Linked DNA regions of Rhinolophus ferrumequinum. The protein of the gene in region 1 purifies or fractionates together with the protein of each later gene. This does not show direct contact. Links are inferred from orthologs where the notes say so. Each region holds a gene or a part of one and is shown in the gene's direction. Other genes may lie near its edges.

Region 1 (7,201 bases):
CAGCCTTGCCAAAATTTCTTAGAACTACACTCTAGTCCAAGACCTTCCTGTTTTCCATCCTGCTTCCTTTACTTTCCTGCCTCCTATACCTGGGTCAGTTCTGCACTGTGGTCTGATGGCTCTCCCAGCCTCCTCTCTCTTCCTTCCCCTTTTCTCTCACAGGTTTCCCCCCATTAGATGTGTTGTCTTCTGGTCCTGTTGTGATATCTACTTTTTGAGGACAGGGCCTAACACAGTGAGTTTTGACCTATGTAAACACTGTGAAACCATCCTCACAATCAAAATAATGAACATGTCCATCACCTATCATTCCCAACAGGCCTCTTGCCCCTTTGTAATCCATCTTTTCTTCTATTCTATCTCCATGTAATCACTGCTCTGATTTCTGCAACTGTAGATTAATTTGCATCCCCTAGCAGTTTTTATAAATGAAATCATATAATGTGTACCCTTTCTTGTTTGGCTTTTTACAAAATTCAGCATCATGATTTTCAGATTCATCTATGTTGCTGCAGATATAGATAGGTAACTCCTTATTATTGCTCACTAGTATTCTACTGTATGGACATATCACTATTTGTTTATCCATTCATCTCTTCATGGACATTTGGGTTGTTTCCTATTTTCAATTATTACAACTAAAGCTATTATGAAAATTCATATAAGCCTTTTATAGTTGTCATTTTTCTTGAACAAATACAATTTGGATGACTGGGTTATACGATAGATAATGTATACATTTTTCAAAAACTGATTACTATTTTATAAAGTGTTTCTAAATGGTTTTTGTGCCTTCTCTCCTTGAATCACTTTAGCCAAATATTAATTTCATTAACTTTTTCCAAAAAACAAATGCTTTTGTATTTGTTGATTCTTGATGTTGTATATTTCTTTCTAGTGTAAATTTGTTTTCTATTTCATTGATTTCTTCTCTAATATTTATCGCCTTTCTTACTTTCCTGCCTTTGTATTTGCTAACATATAAACTTAAGACTATAAATTTATCTTTAAGTATGCTTTCATAGCTTCCCATATGTAGTGATTGTACATTTCTAATTATTTTTAAATATCTGTATTCATTTTCACTTTTGCCCACAAATTATTGAGAAGTGTGGCTTTATTTGTCAACTGTGTAGGAATGTTTTATTTATCATTTTGTCACTGACATAAGCAGTTGCACTCTGGTCAAAGAACATGGTCTGTGTGATATTGATTCTTTAAAAATTTTTGCAACTTGCTTTATGACCTTGTACATGAACAACTTTGTTCTATATTTGTATGAGAAGAAGTTTCATTATCTGTTTTTGTCTATATCCATTAGATCAAAAGTTTTATATTGTTTGTGTCTTTTTGATTATCTATCTACCTATCTATCTATCATTCCATCGATCTGTCTATATCTGTATGGTGACATGTCTCTCAGCAGTCCTACTCTTCCTCCCTCCACTTGGTATCATCCCACAGATGACATGTCAGTGTATTTCTGAGACCCAACCGTGGACATAGTGATGGTTCCCCAGGAGGCTCTCTAACATTCATAAAGATCAGTAGCTACAAAGAGATGCTTGACAGAGGGGCACTGCCTCCCTCTTGGGCCAGTCACAGCCACTCTCATCTCTGAGGCTGCATTGCACCTTTTGCTGCTGGTCTTTTCCTTTTTTTCATTTTTTTAAACAAGCACATTTAAAAAAAATTTTTTTAAAGATTTTATTGGGGAACGGGAACAGTGTGTATTTCCAGCACTTTATTGGGGAACAGTGTGTTTTTCCCAGGACCCATCAGCTCCAAGTCAAGTAGTTGTTTCAATCTAGTTGTGGAGGGCACAGCTCACAGTGGCTCATGTGGGAACCAACCGGGAACCTTGTATTTAAGAGCACTGTGCTCTAACCAACTGAACTAGTCAGCCACCCACCCAGAGCTCAGTGGCAGCTCGTTGTCTTCAATCTAGTTCTGGAGGGCGCAGCTCACTGACCCATGTGGGAATCAAACCCGCAACGTTGCTCAGAGCTCACGTTCTAACCAATTGAGCCATCCCGCTGCTCCTGGTCTTTTCCTTTTTAAAACATAATCTCATTTCAGAAAACCTGCTGGATTGAGAAGGGGACAAAAATGCAGTAGACAATTGAATCACAATTTGTGGGCTGAAGAAAGCAATTTTTCTTTCATTGAGGCAAAATTACTCTGGTTCAACTTTCTAGTGACCAGCATGACTCCCTCTCTCTGCAGTTCTTCCCCAACCACAGTCACAGCTGCTTGACCCACACATGGCTTGAGATTAATCCAGCTGATTGATTTCTGGATGCTTCGATTTTAAGAGGCATCAGTGCCCCTCACTGTTGGGCTCAAGGCTGACCCTCAGCCTCTGGGTCTGTACTTTTTCTATGAAAAAATCCCTCCTTGAGTGTTCCATGGAGACAGTCTTACTTTAATCTTTGATCTTCACTCTCTCTCTCCCCTCTTGGCCTCTGCACCTCTGAGCCTCAGCTTTATTGGCATACCTTGTTATTGGCCAGTAATACCTTGCTACTGGCTGCCATACGTCACCTACTCGGTCTGACAGCCCAGACCACCAGCCCCCTCCTTGCTCAGGAAGGCAACCGCTCTTGGATGCTGGACCATTTTCCTGCTGACTCCCTGACTATGTGAGGCTTTGATCCAGGGCCTGCAGTACCCACCTACTTGCCCTCCCTCTCTTTACCTGTGTTAGTATCTGTATTTACTCTGCTAACAAATCTTACTAGAGTTGACTTTCTAAATTCTGGTCCCTTCTGAACCATACTGCCAACCAAACTGTATATATTCGGGTGGGAGTTGGAGGGAAGAAACCACTGCTGAATTCTCAAACCCAGTCCCCCAGCTCAATATCATACCCATAATGTCAAAACATAGAAGCGCCTAGCGAAAACAGCACATCTTAACTTACAGTGTTCACTCTCTTACAGCAAATATTAGATGTGCATATATTTGTTTGATTACATACAGATTTTTTTCATACAATATCTTTTCTTTACATGTAAATTATAAGCTCCTTAAAGGCAAATATATAGCAGTTAACACAGTCCCTTAAATAAAACAGTTGCTCAAAGAGATCTGATAATTGAATTTAATCAGTTAAGAGTTAATTTCTGTACTTATTTTCTTTAGTGTAATTTGTCAGCTTAGTGTCCAGTTTATTCTTTCCACGAATATTTGCTGAGGACCTACTATGTGCTGAGCAATCTTCTAGGCTATAAAAGTATTACTCTATCAAAGTAAATATAGTGTATTCCCTCACAGAGATTATGTTGCAGTGGGGGAGTTAGACAATATATTTAAAAATATGGGGCGGCTGGTTAGCTCAGTGTGTTAGTGCCATGCTCATAACACCAGGGTTGCCGGTTCGATCGATCCCCGCATGGGCCAGTGTGAGCTGCGCCCTCCACAACTAGATTGAAACAACTACTTGACTTAGAGCCATGGGTCCTGGAAAAACACACTTAAAATAAATTTTTAAAAGTTTAAAAAAAAGAAAAAGAAATGCGAATATTATGTGGGAAAAGGTGCTACAAAGGAAAAAAGTGAAGTAAATAAATAAAGATGAAAGGAAGTGTTATATGGAGTCTGGTATATTTTGCCTTTTAGAGAAAAAGCTTCTGAAAGTCTATTTTTGTTTGTTTTTGCATTTATTTTGAGGTTTTTGAACCAAATATGCCAAGCATGGAGTTTTTAGACCTTTAACACTTTTTGCAAATGTAAGAAAAGATGTTTCAAACTTTTGAAAATCCCCTACTTCTTTATTCCTTTTTCGCTTTACTTTTTAAATGTGTGTGTGTTGGGGGGGGGTGTGGAAAAAAATAAACAGATTAGTCAATATGGTAGACGTGCGAATTAGTTTTCTTTCTAAATGCCTTATGGCTTTAACATTTTCAAAAGCACCATTTATTTAATGGACAAGATCATCCATAGTCCTTTTTGGTTTCACCAGCAGTGTCTGGAAACATTAGCAGACCCTGTTTACTAATTAGTTTTCCCAAACTCAAACCCCGCTACCCTGGTGCTTAACAAGCATCCCTGAAACACTTGGTGACACCCCTCAGAAATATCACCGGAAATAGGCTTCTCGGAGTTACCTTGTGCGTTAACCTGCCGCAGGCGCTAGGACCGCCCAGACGCCCATAGGCAGCCACTCTTCGCAGCCTGTCAGCGGGACTGAGCCGCCTTTGCTGTTACACAAGAGAGCAAGCAGCAGCTGTAGCAGCTCAGCATCCTTCCCCCTTCCGGTCGATTGGAAGGTATTTACTTGCTATTTACCATTCAGATTTTGTACACCGTCAATGCGCCTTTAGTGTTCACTTAATCTGATGCTCTGGAATGCTGTCCAGTACTTGTTGGGTTACTATATTATTTTATGTTAATTTCCACAGCTGATGGAAGCAACAGTGCCATAAAGAAATGGGCTAGATACCCCAGAGGCTGAAATCTGGAGGCATTTGGAGGTGTAAGTACATCGGTCACAGATCTCTAACGTGCTGGTTTTGTTAGTTGTGTTTCTTGACCTTCTTCTTCCTCATTGAGAGAGCCAATGTAAGATGCCATTTGCATATTTCATTCATGAAGGAAAAGCACCAAGACAGTGACATAAACCACTAATGATGGGCCTGAAACTCTACTTTGGAGTGGCTGTGGTTCCCTCCTCTAGCCTGTGGGTTTGCAAGAGGAGAAGCTGGATTTGCAGCAGAGTTTTGATGGCAAAGAGATTTTGCTCAGGGCTGCAGATGGCTTGCTTCTTTGCTTTCTGTTTTCTGTTTTCAAAGCTCAAAGATTGTCCTTTCTAATCAGTGCTGTGGTGCAGTGTAAAAATCTTTTTATGCTTTCTTTATTTCTGTGTTCCAAATACTCTCACCGTAAATGTGGGCTGCCAGAAAGCTGTGAAACCATTCTGTACCTCTCAGTGTAAAGCCATTGAAGAAAAATCTAATTTGCTTTCTCTTGGCCATACTCAATACTACAATTAGTAGATTACACTCAGAAACAATAATCTAAGCTCTCCTTTCCTGTTCAACAATATATCTGATTATGTGTGATAAGGGAGTAGTTTATTAGAAAACCCAAATGAAGAAGACTCTATGGAGAAAATCAGACATTCTCAATTTGAATCAATCAAAATCATACAAATCAATTGAAAATGCTTTTTTAGGGCCTTGATGCCAATTTCATGTATTAAATGTCTTTGAAAACTTTAAAGTTTTGTCAAATTGTTAGGTTAGATTATTACCTTAGAAATTAGATCAAATTTAGGTATTTTATACAAAATGTAATAGGTAAACATTTAAAAATGAATAAAATGTTGAGTCATATTTATGGTCAATTTATAGGAAAGTTTAAGATATTAATTTATTTCAGGAAAGAAAATGTGAAACTGAGACTCAGAGCAAGGCATCGATATTGAAAATGTGACTTTAATAAAAAGCATTTTAACAATAATTTTTAAAATACTTTAAATGTTTCAAAATTTATTTTAAGTACAGTATATTTGATATATTGATTTATCCTAAATGAGATTTCACATTGTTTAAATATTAAACTTTTGAACATATACCTATAATTCTCCTAAAACTCTATTTTGCAGAAGAAATAGGATACAGGAGATGAGGGAGGGAGGGTTAGTATTATTTTATTGTTCTATACTTGTAATATTTTGAACATTCTGATTGAATATTTACTATGTAAATATGCTACTTATATTTTAAAATACGTAACAAAAATCACAAATGAGTTTAACAATTAATTTGCAGCATCTCTAAATACAAATGATAGAAGTATATAAAAATATATTAAGATTGCTATATATCTTAAGCAAGGAAAATCTTTTCTGAAGATAAAGCCTTCCTTCTGGAGGAAGGTAGAAAATCAGATTGGGGGTAGTAATAGACTTTCAATATTTTGTAAAACAAAAGTACTTTTCTACATTTATTTTTTAGTTGGTATAACAACATACTACAACTCCATGAACTTTGTGTTAACAAAGTTTCTCCCTCTCTCTTCTTTTAAAAAAATGTTTCTGTAATCCAAGTCTGGAAAGATGACTCAATTCTTCAAATTAATACTTAGTTTTGAAAATTTTTGCCCAACATATGATTTGCAGCTTTAGATTTCAGTTTTATGTCATACTCATTATACATGTCTCATCATAAAGAATTTTAAAATAACTTTATTATGTGTTGATCCTAGAGATTCATTGAATTCGATAATGATGCAGGGAAACAAATCCCAAGAACTTAGATCATATTCAGAATTTGAAATTCTCAGGATATGAACTAACTTCTGGAATTTAAATCCTAAAATTAGTCCACTGGCTGGAACTACTTGACCAAAGACAATGGGAAGAATGCACAGCAGTAGCCCAGGGTTGCTGGCAAACAAGTGGGGCTTAAACTGAGGCGAAAATGCAAAACGTAAAACTAATTTGTTAAAGTGTGAAAGTAGTGACTATCTGGTGATTTTAATCCCTGAGGATAATCCCCTTACGCCTTGAAAAGTCTCGCTGCCCAGGAGATCCAGGCGAATATCATTATTATCTGGATTTAACGGATAATAGTAAGGTAGACAGCTCTAAAAAATTAATGTTAACATACAGATTTTTATTTAAAAAGAGATTCAGCAAATAGGCAGTCTGGTCACATGGGTTTCCCCCTCAGCAGTTTGTTTTTTTTTTTTCCCCGAAAGAACAATATATTTCACATGAATAAGGTGCTTACTAAAACATTTAAGAAGGAGGTGGGAAAAGACAGCTTTTACATTTTTTTTTATTAGTTTCAGGTGTACAAAACAATGTAATAGTTAGACATTTACCCCCCTCAAAAAGTGATAACTCCCCTCCCCCAATCTACTACACCTCTGACGTTGTATATAGCTGTTACAATTCCACTGACTATTCCCTATGCTGTACTCCACATCCCGTGACTATACATATATTAAATTATAGTTGACATTCATTGCTATTCAGCTTCAGCTTCAGGTGTACAGCGCAGTGATCAGGCATCTACACCGTCCCTGAAGTGGTCTCCCTAATAAGACAAGTGTCCATCGGATACCCTACAAAAATCTTTACAACATTATCTATTATGTTCCCCAAACTGTCTTTCATATCCCCATGGCAGTCTTGTGGTTACCAATTTGTGCTTTCTAATCCTCTCACCTTCTCACTCATCCCCACCGCCCT
Region 2 (7,705 bases), on another chromosome or scaffold:
TATAAAGACACACATGGAAATGATCAAGATCAAATCTGGTATAGTGAAAACCTTGGGATGGAGGTGTATACAGAGGGCTCTGATTGTAGTGGTAATGCTTTCTTTCTTTCTGTCTTTTTTTTTTTTTGGCGTGTTTAGAAGTTTATTGAAGAGATGCGAAGATGGGTGGAATTTTAGTTTGAATGTAAATCTCTTTTTTTCCCTTGCTAAATTATATATATATATATATATATATATATATATATATATATATATATATATATATATATATAAATTTTGATTACAATTTATTGGGGTGACAATGGTTAGTAAAATTACATAGGTTTCAAGTGTACAATTCTGTAATACATCATCTATATATCACATTGTGTGTTCACCACCCAGAGTCAGTTCTCTTTCCATCACCATATATTTGACTCCATTTACCCTCTTCTACCACCCCCTCCCCCTTAACCTCTGGTAACCATTAAACTATTGTCTATGTCTGAGTTTTTGTTTCTTCATGTGTTTGATTTGCTCCTTTGTTGCTTTCAGTTTTATATCCCACATCAGCAAAGGCATATGGTTCTCGACATTTTCTGTCTGTCTCATTTCACTTAGCATAATAATCTCAAGATCCATCCATGTTGTCGCAAATGGTACTATTTCATATTTTCTTATGGCAGAATCGTACTCCATTATATATATATCACATCTTCTTTATCCATTCATCTATCAAAGGGCACTTTGGTTATTTCCATGTCTTGGCCACTGTGAATAAAGTTGCACTGAACATAGGAGCACACATATGTTTATGGATAAATGTTTTCAGAATTTTTTGGTATATACCCAGGAGAGGGATTGTTGGGTCATATGGTAATTCTATTCTTAACTTTTTGAGGAACCTCCAAACTGTCTTCCATAGCAGCTGCACCAATCTGCATAATGCTTTATTTCTTAAGCTGGGTTGTGAGCATATTCTCTTTGTCGTACTGTTGTCTATATATTTATGCATTTTCAAAATATTTAAAAAGAGCAATTGCTCAATGCTGAGGCATCCCATCACCTGGGGCTGAGGAAAAAAACAAACAATGGAGTATCTTATTAGTTTGCACTATCCAGAACTACTTCAATGTGGTAAATTGAAACAACTCATCATATCCGATCATTCACTATGGGACAGGAGTTTACATACCATACATAAGATAATAATCCATAAGTTCCTATTTACATTGTTGCACAGGATAGTGCCTGGGTTTGCTTGCATTGGAGCGCTCACAATATTTGGCATAAGAATTTGAGCACAGAATCCTTGCGACAAACAAAGAGGATCAAACAGATAATGGACAGCAGATTGCGAAGCATGGAATCTGTGTAAACAGGCCATTGACTAACTTGGTTTTGGTTCATTGCTTATGTTTGTCTCTGTGTATTTTCAGATGGTTTAGTGAAACTGTGATAGGAGTCAGATCCTCACACATCCTCTTTAATGAGGTGGACCTTGGAGAGTGAGAAACCACACATGCATAAAGAAGGAAAAACTTAAAATAATATCTGGAAATTTTGCTGTGGAATAAGAAGATTGGACTATATGTTTTCTGAAGTCCCTTCTAGCTGAGGGTATTTCCAGCTCCTGCCAAGCACCACCTGCAAAGAAGAAGCAGAGAAGTGCTTGTTCTGAGTTCCCACAGGCCAGGTTAGGGAGATGAACACATTCAAAGCCCAGAGCTGAGGCAGAGAGGCCCTGAGGATGGAGTTAGCAACGCTAGACAGAACAAAAGGGTTTCCTTTTTGAAGAGTCTTCTTTGCACTTAAGGCTGTGGGTGGTGTATTTAAGGATTCCAGAATGGCAGAAAACTCTGGGTAGAGCCTGGGAGCTGAATTTTACTGTTTTGTCTGCTAGAATTAAAATGATTTTTTCCTTCCCTATTAAAGATTTTCAAAAAAGATGTTTTATATTATCAAAGCTATACCCACTATTATAAGAAAGTTGAAAAATACAGAAAATTAGGATGAAAATGAAAAGTTCATTTAGTTATACCACCTAGAGACAGCCACTATTGATAGTTTGCATATTTCTTTCTAGCCTTTTGTTCATGCATATCCTCCGATTTCCATTAATTGTTGTGATCATATGTATATTAAATACTGTATCCTACTTTCAGTTAATATTACACATACGTATTTCTTGTCATTATGAGCTACGTGTAAATACAGTAGTCCCCTGCTACCTGCTACAGTAGTCCCCTGCTACGTGGTTTTGCTTTCCACGGTTTCAGTTACTCATGGTCAACTGTGATCTGAAAATTTTAAATGGAAAATACCAGAAATAGACAATTCGTAAGTTTTAAAGTTTGTACCATTCTGAGTAGTGTGATAAAATCTCGTGCCGTTCTGCTCCATCCCACCGGGGATGGGAATCATCCCTTTTGATCAGTGTATCCACATTGTATATGATACCTGCTCATTATTAATTTTTGGCTGTCTAGGTTATCATATCAACTGTCACAGTATTGCAGTGCAGTGTTCAAATAACACATTATACTTAATAATGGCCCCAAAGTGCAAGTGTAGTGATGCTGACAATTCAAATATACCAAAGAAAAGCCATAAAGTGCTTCCTTTAAGTGAAAAGGCTTGTATGTAAAGGGAAAAAGCATAGTATGTATAGTGTTCAGTGTGTTTTCAGGTATCCACTGGGGGTCTTGGAATGTATCCCCCATGGATAAGGGAAGACTACTTGTCAATTTTACTGGCTATATAATATTCCATCGTATAACTCTAATTTACTTAACCATTGAACCATTAGGTTTTGCCCCTAGTATTTGATTATTCTAAGTAATACTGCAGTTAACATCATTGTACAAAAAGTTTGTGTTTCTTTAGGACACATTCATTCATTCATTTATTATACAAATATTAGCGAGGGCCTACTATGTGCCAGGTACTACCATGTTTCCCTGAAAAATAAGACCTAATCTGAAAATAAGCCCTAGCATGATTTTTATGGATGCTCGTAATATAAAATAAGCCCTAATGAGTCTTTTGGAGGAAAAATTAATATAAGACCCGGTCTTATTTTCAGGGAAATATGGTAAGGCTTATATTATATTATGAACATCCTGAAAAATCGTGCTAGGGCTTATTTTCCAGTTAGGTCTTATTTTCAGGGAAACATGATACTCTAGGTGCCCACTTTCTGCCTTGGGTTTTTTATACTGATACAGGAAACAATGGAGAAGGAGCAAATTTAAGAGAAAAGATGGTGGGTTCAGCTTCAGATGTGTTGAGTTTGAAGGGCCTGCAAGACATCCAAGTGGAGATGTCAAGAGAGCAGAGCTCAGTGGAGATATCTGGATAAGCTATAAAATTACAGGTGTGGCCATACAGATGATAATTAAAGCCAAGTGAGTGAAAGAGATCACTTAGGAAGAGAGTATATGTAGCCTAGCCCTGAGAATGTCTGTCTTTCAGAAGTTAGATAGCAGAGTGGAATGTACAAAGGAACTGAGGAGAGGGCAAAAGGGTAGGAGGAAAAGCAGAAGAGTATGGTGTCATAGATGCCACAGGAAGACTTTCAAGGAGGAGGAAATGGTTAACAGCATTAAATGTAGAGAAGAGGTCAAGCAAGATAAGGACTAAAAATGTCTTATTTGTTTGTTTGTTTGTTTATTTATTTATTTATTGACACGGAGGTCATTAGCTGGGTATCTTGTTGAGCACAGTCTCAGTGGAGTGTTGAGGAAGAAAGTCAAATTGTTGAGTGAAAATTAAGGGAGTGGAGATTACAAATGTACCTCTAAAGTATATTTGGAATAAATTTGTTCATAAAGAGGAGCTGGAGAGGTATTTGGTGTGTAAAGAGGATTTTTTTTTTTAAGATGGCGGAGACTTGAGCATGTTTATTTGCTGATGACAGGTGAGAGGGACTTGAGCATTGTTAATGGGTGATGAAAAGAAGAGAGGGAGAGAGAGAGAGGGAGGAAGAGAATGGGAGAGGAACTTACAATTACTGGGTAGATATAAACATTTTAGAGTCTAATTGATATATATTACTCACATGCTTTGTCAAAGGATTTTTAACCAAAATACACTCCTTCCAGCAATTATAAGATAACTTATCTGGTGGCCACTTTGTCATCATTGTTATAAAAACAAACAAACAAAAAACTTTGCCAAGGAACCTCATTATTGTTCTAATTTACTCTTTGATTAAATAGTGAGTTGAATGTTTTACCCACTTGTGTCCATGTGTGTGAATTTAGTCTTATGCTATTTGCCCAAAACGTTTCTATTTTAGACACTTTTCTTTGCCACAAAAGGCTGAAAGTCGAAGAATCAGAATGGTATCATGTTTTATCTTACCAAAGTATATGGTCTACAGTCTTCTTCTCCCTAAAAGTACACGACCGTTTGACAACTTTTGGCTCAGCTGAGTGAAGAGGTTTGTGATTTATCATCTGAGAGAGTGACCACAGATGGAAATAAAAAGGGGGTCAGGTCTAGTCTTAGACCCTTATCCTTAATCCTCAAGCTCCCTTTCATAATCCTGGAGGGCATCCCTCCAGTGCCTTAAGGCTTTGGTTCCCAGAGCTCCTCTTGTAGTGGCACCGTCCCCTACTCAGGAGCCTGGAGCGCTGTGCGGCCCCTTTAAGAGTCCAGCTCCTCCCCGCTCCAGGGAAAGTTGCAGCTTTTTCCGCCTCCCGGGAGGGTGAGAAGGACCGGCCACTGCCGGAGTGGGGTTGCGGTCTTCCCAGAGCCATAGACCCTGCCCTGAATCCGGTGCTGGGACTTCTAGCCTCTCTCGTGGCACCTGTTGCACCTGACAGGTAGGTTCGCGGCCAGAGGCCGCCCCTTCGCCGTCGGTCGGGGACTCCTGCCTGGCCCCCAGCCCCTTGTCTCTGCCTAAGCGCCCCCACCCCCATCTCAGGGCCCTGCGTCCTTCCCTAACCCCTTCCGCCCTCCCACTCTTTCCTGTCCCCTTTCTGCCTCCCTGGATAGCCCTCCTGCCCACGCCTCGACTCCAGTCTGCTTGACTCCCCGGGGACAGTCCCTCCCCGCCAGTTTGCTTTCTCCCGAGCGCCTTCCCAGGCCCACTGATCGCTAACGAAGGCTGTGCCTCTCTGTGTTCCCTGTCACGCCTCGAGCGGCGTGGCCGGCTTTTCCCGCCTGCCGGAGCTGAGGCAATTCCGGAGAGCCGGCCCGGGGGGCAGGGGTGGGGCCGGAGCTCCTAGCGGGAACTGCGCCCTCCGAGGCGTCGAGTCACCTTTTCGCCGGTTCCTCTGGCAGTGCCCGGCCATTGCGCGTGGTATTGTCCCCGTACTCCTTACGGACCTCAGGCGGCCCGCCACAGGTAAAAAGGCTGCTGGCTGGCTGGTTGGCCCTAGTCCTGCCTCGGTGGGCTTCTTCTGCACTTGGGGCGGGGGACCCGGCTGTGTGCTCCAGAGTTGAACTGCTTTATCTTGCCACTTTTCAAGCAGGCTTTGCTCCTGGAGGAGAGTCCTCAGAGCCCTCAGAAGGGGCCCAGAACACTTCTATCTTCTGTTTTGGTTTATAAAGGGGCTTATGAACGTCTCCAGCCCTTAACGTTGAATGAAATGGTTAGTTTTGGTGGTGAAATCATTTGGTTAGAATTCTGGTGGCTTGAACAACTGATCTGTTTCTCATTAACTAACCTTTTCCTCCCCCAGTACCCTACTTCTTCAGGACCAGAGGACCTAGCGCTCCAGAATACAGCTTTTGGCAGGGTTGACCCTAGAGCTTGAACATCTGTGGCAGACATTAGTCTTCAGTACATCCTGGACCTCCTATTTTAAACTGGCTTTTCTGCTTTTTCAGCTCCCGGACACCACCCCTCATAAATCCATTAATATTAAGGTATTAATGACCTAATGTGTTTACCCACTGGTTTGTGGAGAGAATAATGTCTAATGCAAAGAGTTGAGACTCTGAGAAAGTTTTTTGTTGTGTTTTTTTTTTTTTGGTTTGTTTTTGTTTTTTGTTTTTAGCACCTGCTGGAAATCCTAGTAGAAAGGGACCACCAACTTGGCTTGTGAGACTTATCCTGGCAGGAGGCAAACATTTCTGGTAACACAATTTCAGGGGCCTCACTCTAAGTCTGAACAGTGAAATGGAGGCCTGTTCAGGGATGACTGGTCTGTGAGTGTATGTAGCATTCTGGTTGATACTCTCTGAGTTTTCCCCTTAAAGGCTGCTATTAATAATGGTTGTTAGAATCCACTGAGCCAGGCGCTGTGATAAGTTCTTGACATAATTATCTCATATAATCCTCATGATAACTCTATGAAGTAGGCGCTACAATTATAATTGTGTTATGATGAAAAGGAGACTGAGAGGTTAAGTGCCTTGCTCCAAATCACCCAACAGATGAGGGACAGAGCTGGGTCATCTTAATGCACAGCTCTGTTCCTATCCCCTGTCATACCGTCTCTGCTGCCTTGGATGTTAGGAACACTAAATAGCTCACGAGTGAGGACTAAGTGATTAAAAATTTCCCTTCCACGCCAAAGTATAAGTTTTGGTCCTTGACTCTACCCTGGATGCACTGAGGAGACTTTGGACCATTTACCTCACTGGTATCTTGCCCACTTCACCACTTCACTTCCAGCAGGGGGCCAGTTGCCACATTGCCACTCTAGGTACACACCCCTGAGTGTACCTGTCTGAATGAAACTTCCAGGGCTCTTAGCTCAGTAGTCATTGTCCTGAAGTTAAGAGAGGGTAACTGGATTCTAGGGATGTGTGACTGACTCAACTTCTTCCTTTCCTGCTTGCTAGGGGAGAAATGAGGATGTGGTATGCGATAAGGATTTCCCAACAGTCAAGCCAGAGAGCCTGAGGGGAAGTGTTTGCTTATTTTATCCTGGGATGGATGGCATATCTGAGGCAGGGACAGTCCAGGAGAAAAATGTCTTCCCTGATCCGATCACTGGGCCTTTGCTCAAACTGCTCTTTTTTTCCCCCTGAAAAGATAACTTGCCACCCATACCCACTCCCTGCCATTAATTCCTATTTATCTCAAAATTTACTCTAAAGTCACCTCCTTTGGGACAGCCTTTCTGAATACAATTCCTTCCCCTATGCAGAATTACCAGTTATCCTGTGTCCAAAAGCTCTTTGTTTATACCTCAGGAAAGCCCTTAACACCTCTCTTAGTTGTTTTTCCACCTGGAAGGTTAACCACTTTAAGGTCAAGGTCTGGATCTTGGAGCTCCCTTTGTCTTAAGCGTGAAAAATCAACAAACATTTGTGCTAAGAACCGGGGGTCCCATGCCTTCAAGGGCCTGAGGTCTGGTGATGGTGGGATTGAAGTACAAAAGATACCTTTTTTGAGGCGCTTGAAATCTGACAACTAGGAGTTTGTGTTTAAATGTCACCTCAGTGAGGCCTTCCCTAATCATCTTGTTTAAACTTGAAACCCTTCCCGGAATATTCTATGTGCCCCTTCCCTACCTTATTACTCTAATGTAACATATTGCATATTTTATTCATTTTTCTTTCTTATTGTCTGTCTCTCTCCCCCCTCCACAATGTAAGTTCCACGTGGGCAGGGCTTTCTGTCTGTTTTATTCACTAGTGGACCCCAGCACCTATAACAGGGCCTGGGACATAGGTACTTACCAACGTTTGTTCAATGAATTAATGAATGACATTACTGTTCTAGGAACTGGCACTTTTTTGGGCTCTCCTGGAACTGAAACTAAGT

The links. The genes of interacting proteins can lie anywhere in the genome.
Region 2: the proteins of RAB27B (region 1) and SYTL4 purify together in Homo sapiens (co-immunoprecipitation; 3 studies listed by BioGRID and IntAct, counting the BioPlex papers as one, with this or other methods). This does not show direct contact. The link is inferred for Rhinolophus ferrumequinum from reciprocal best matches to the Homo sapiens genes RAB27B and SYTL4.

The regions. Positions count from the first base shown.
Region 1 is NC_046302.1:44,327,825-44,335,025, forward strand, and holds the start of RAB27B (ras-related protein Rab-27B), read left to right. Parts: upstream 1-4,199; 5' UTR 4,200-4,271; intron 4,272-4,403; 5' UTR 4,404-4,477; intron 4,478-7,201. UniProt on the Homo sapiens protein: Small GTPase which cycles between active GTP-bound and inactive GDP-bound states. In its active state, binds to a variety of effector proteins to regulate homeostasis of late endocytic pathway, including endosomal positioning, maturation and secretion.
Region 2 is NC_046284.1:53,721,802-53,729,506, forward strand, and holds the start of SYTL4 (synaptotagmin-like protein 4), read left to right. Parts: upstream 1-4,685; 5' UTR 4,686-4,808; intron 4,809-5,173; exon of another isoform or gene 5,174-5,332; intron 5,333-7,705. UniProt on the Homo sapiens protein: Modulates exocytosis of dense-core granules and secretion of hormones in the pancreas and the pituitary. Interacts with vesicles containing negatively charged phospholipids in a Ca(2+)-independent manner.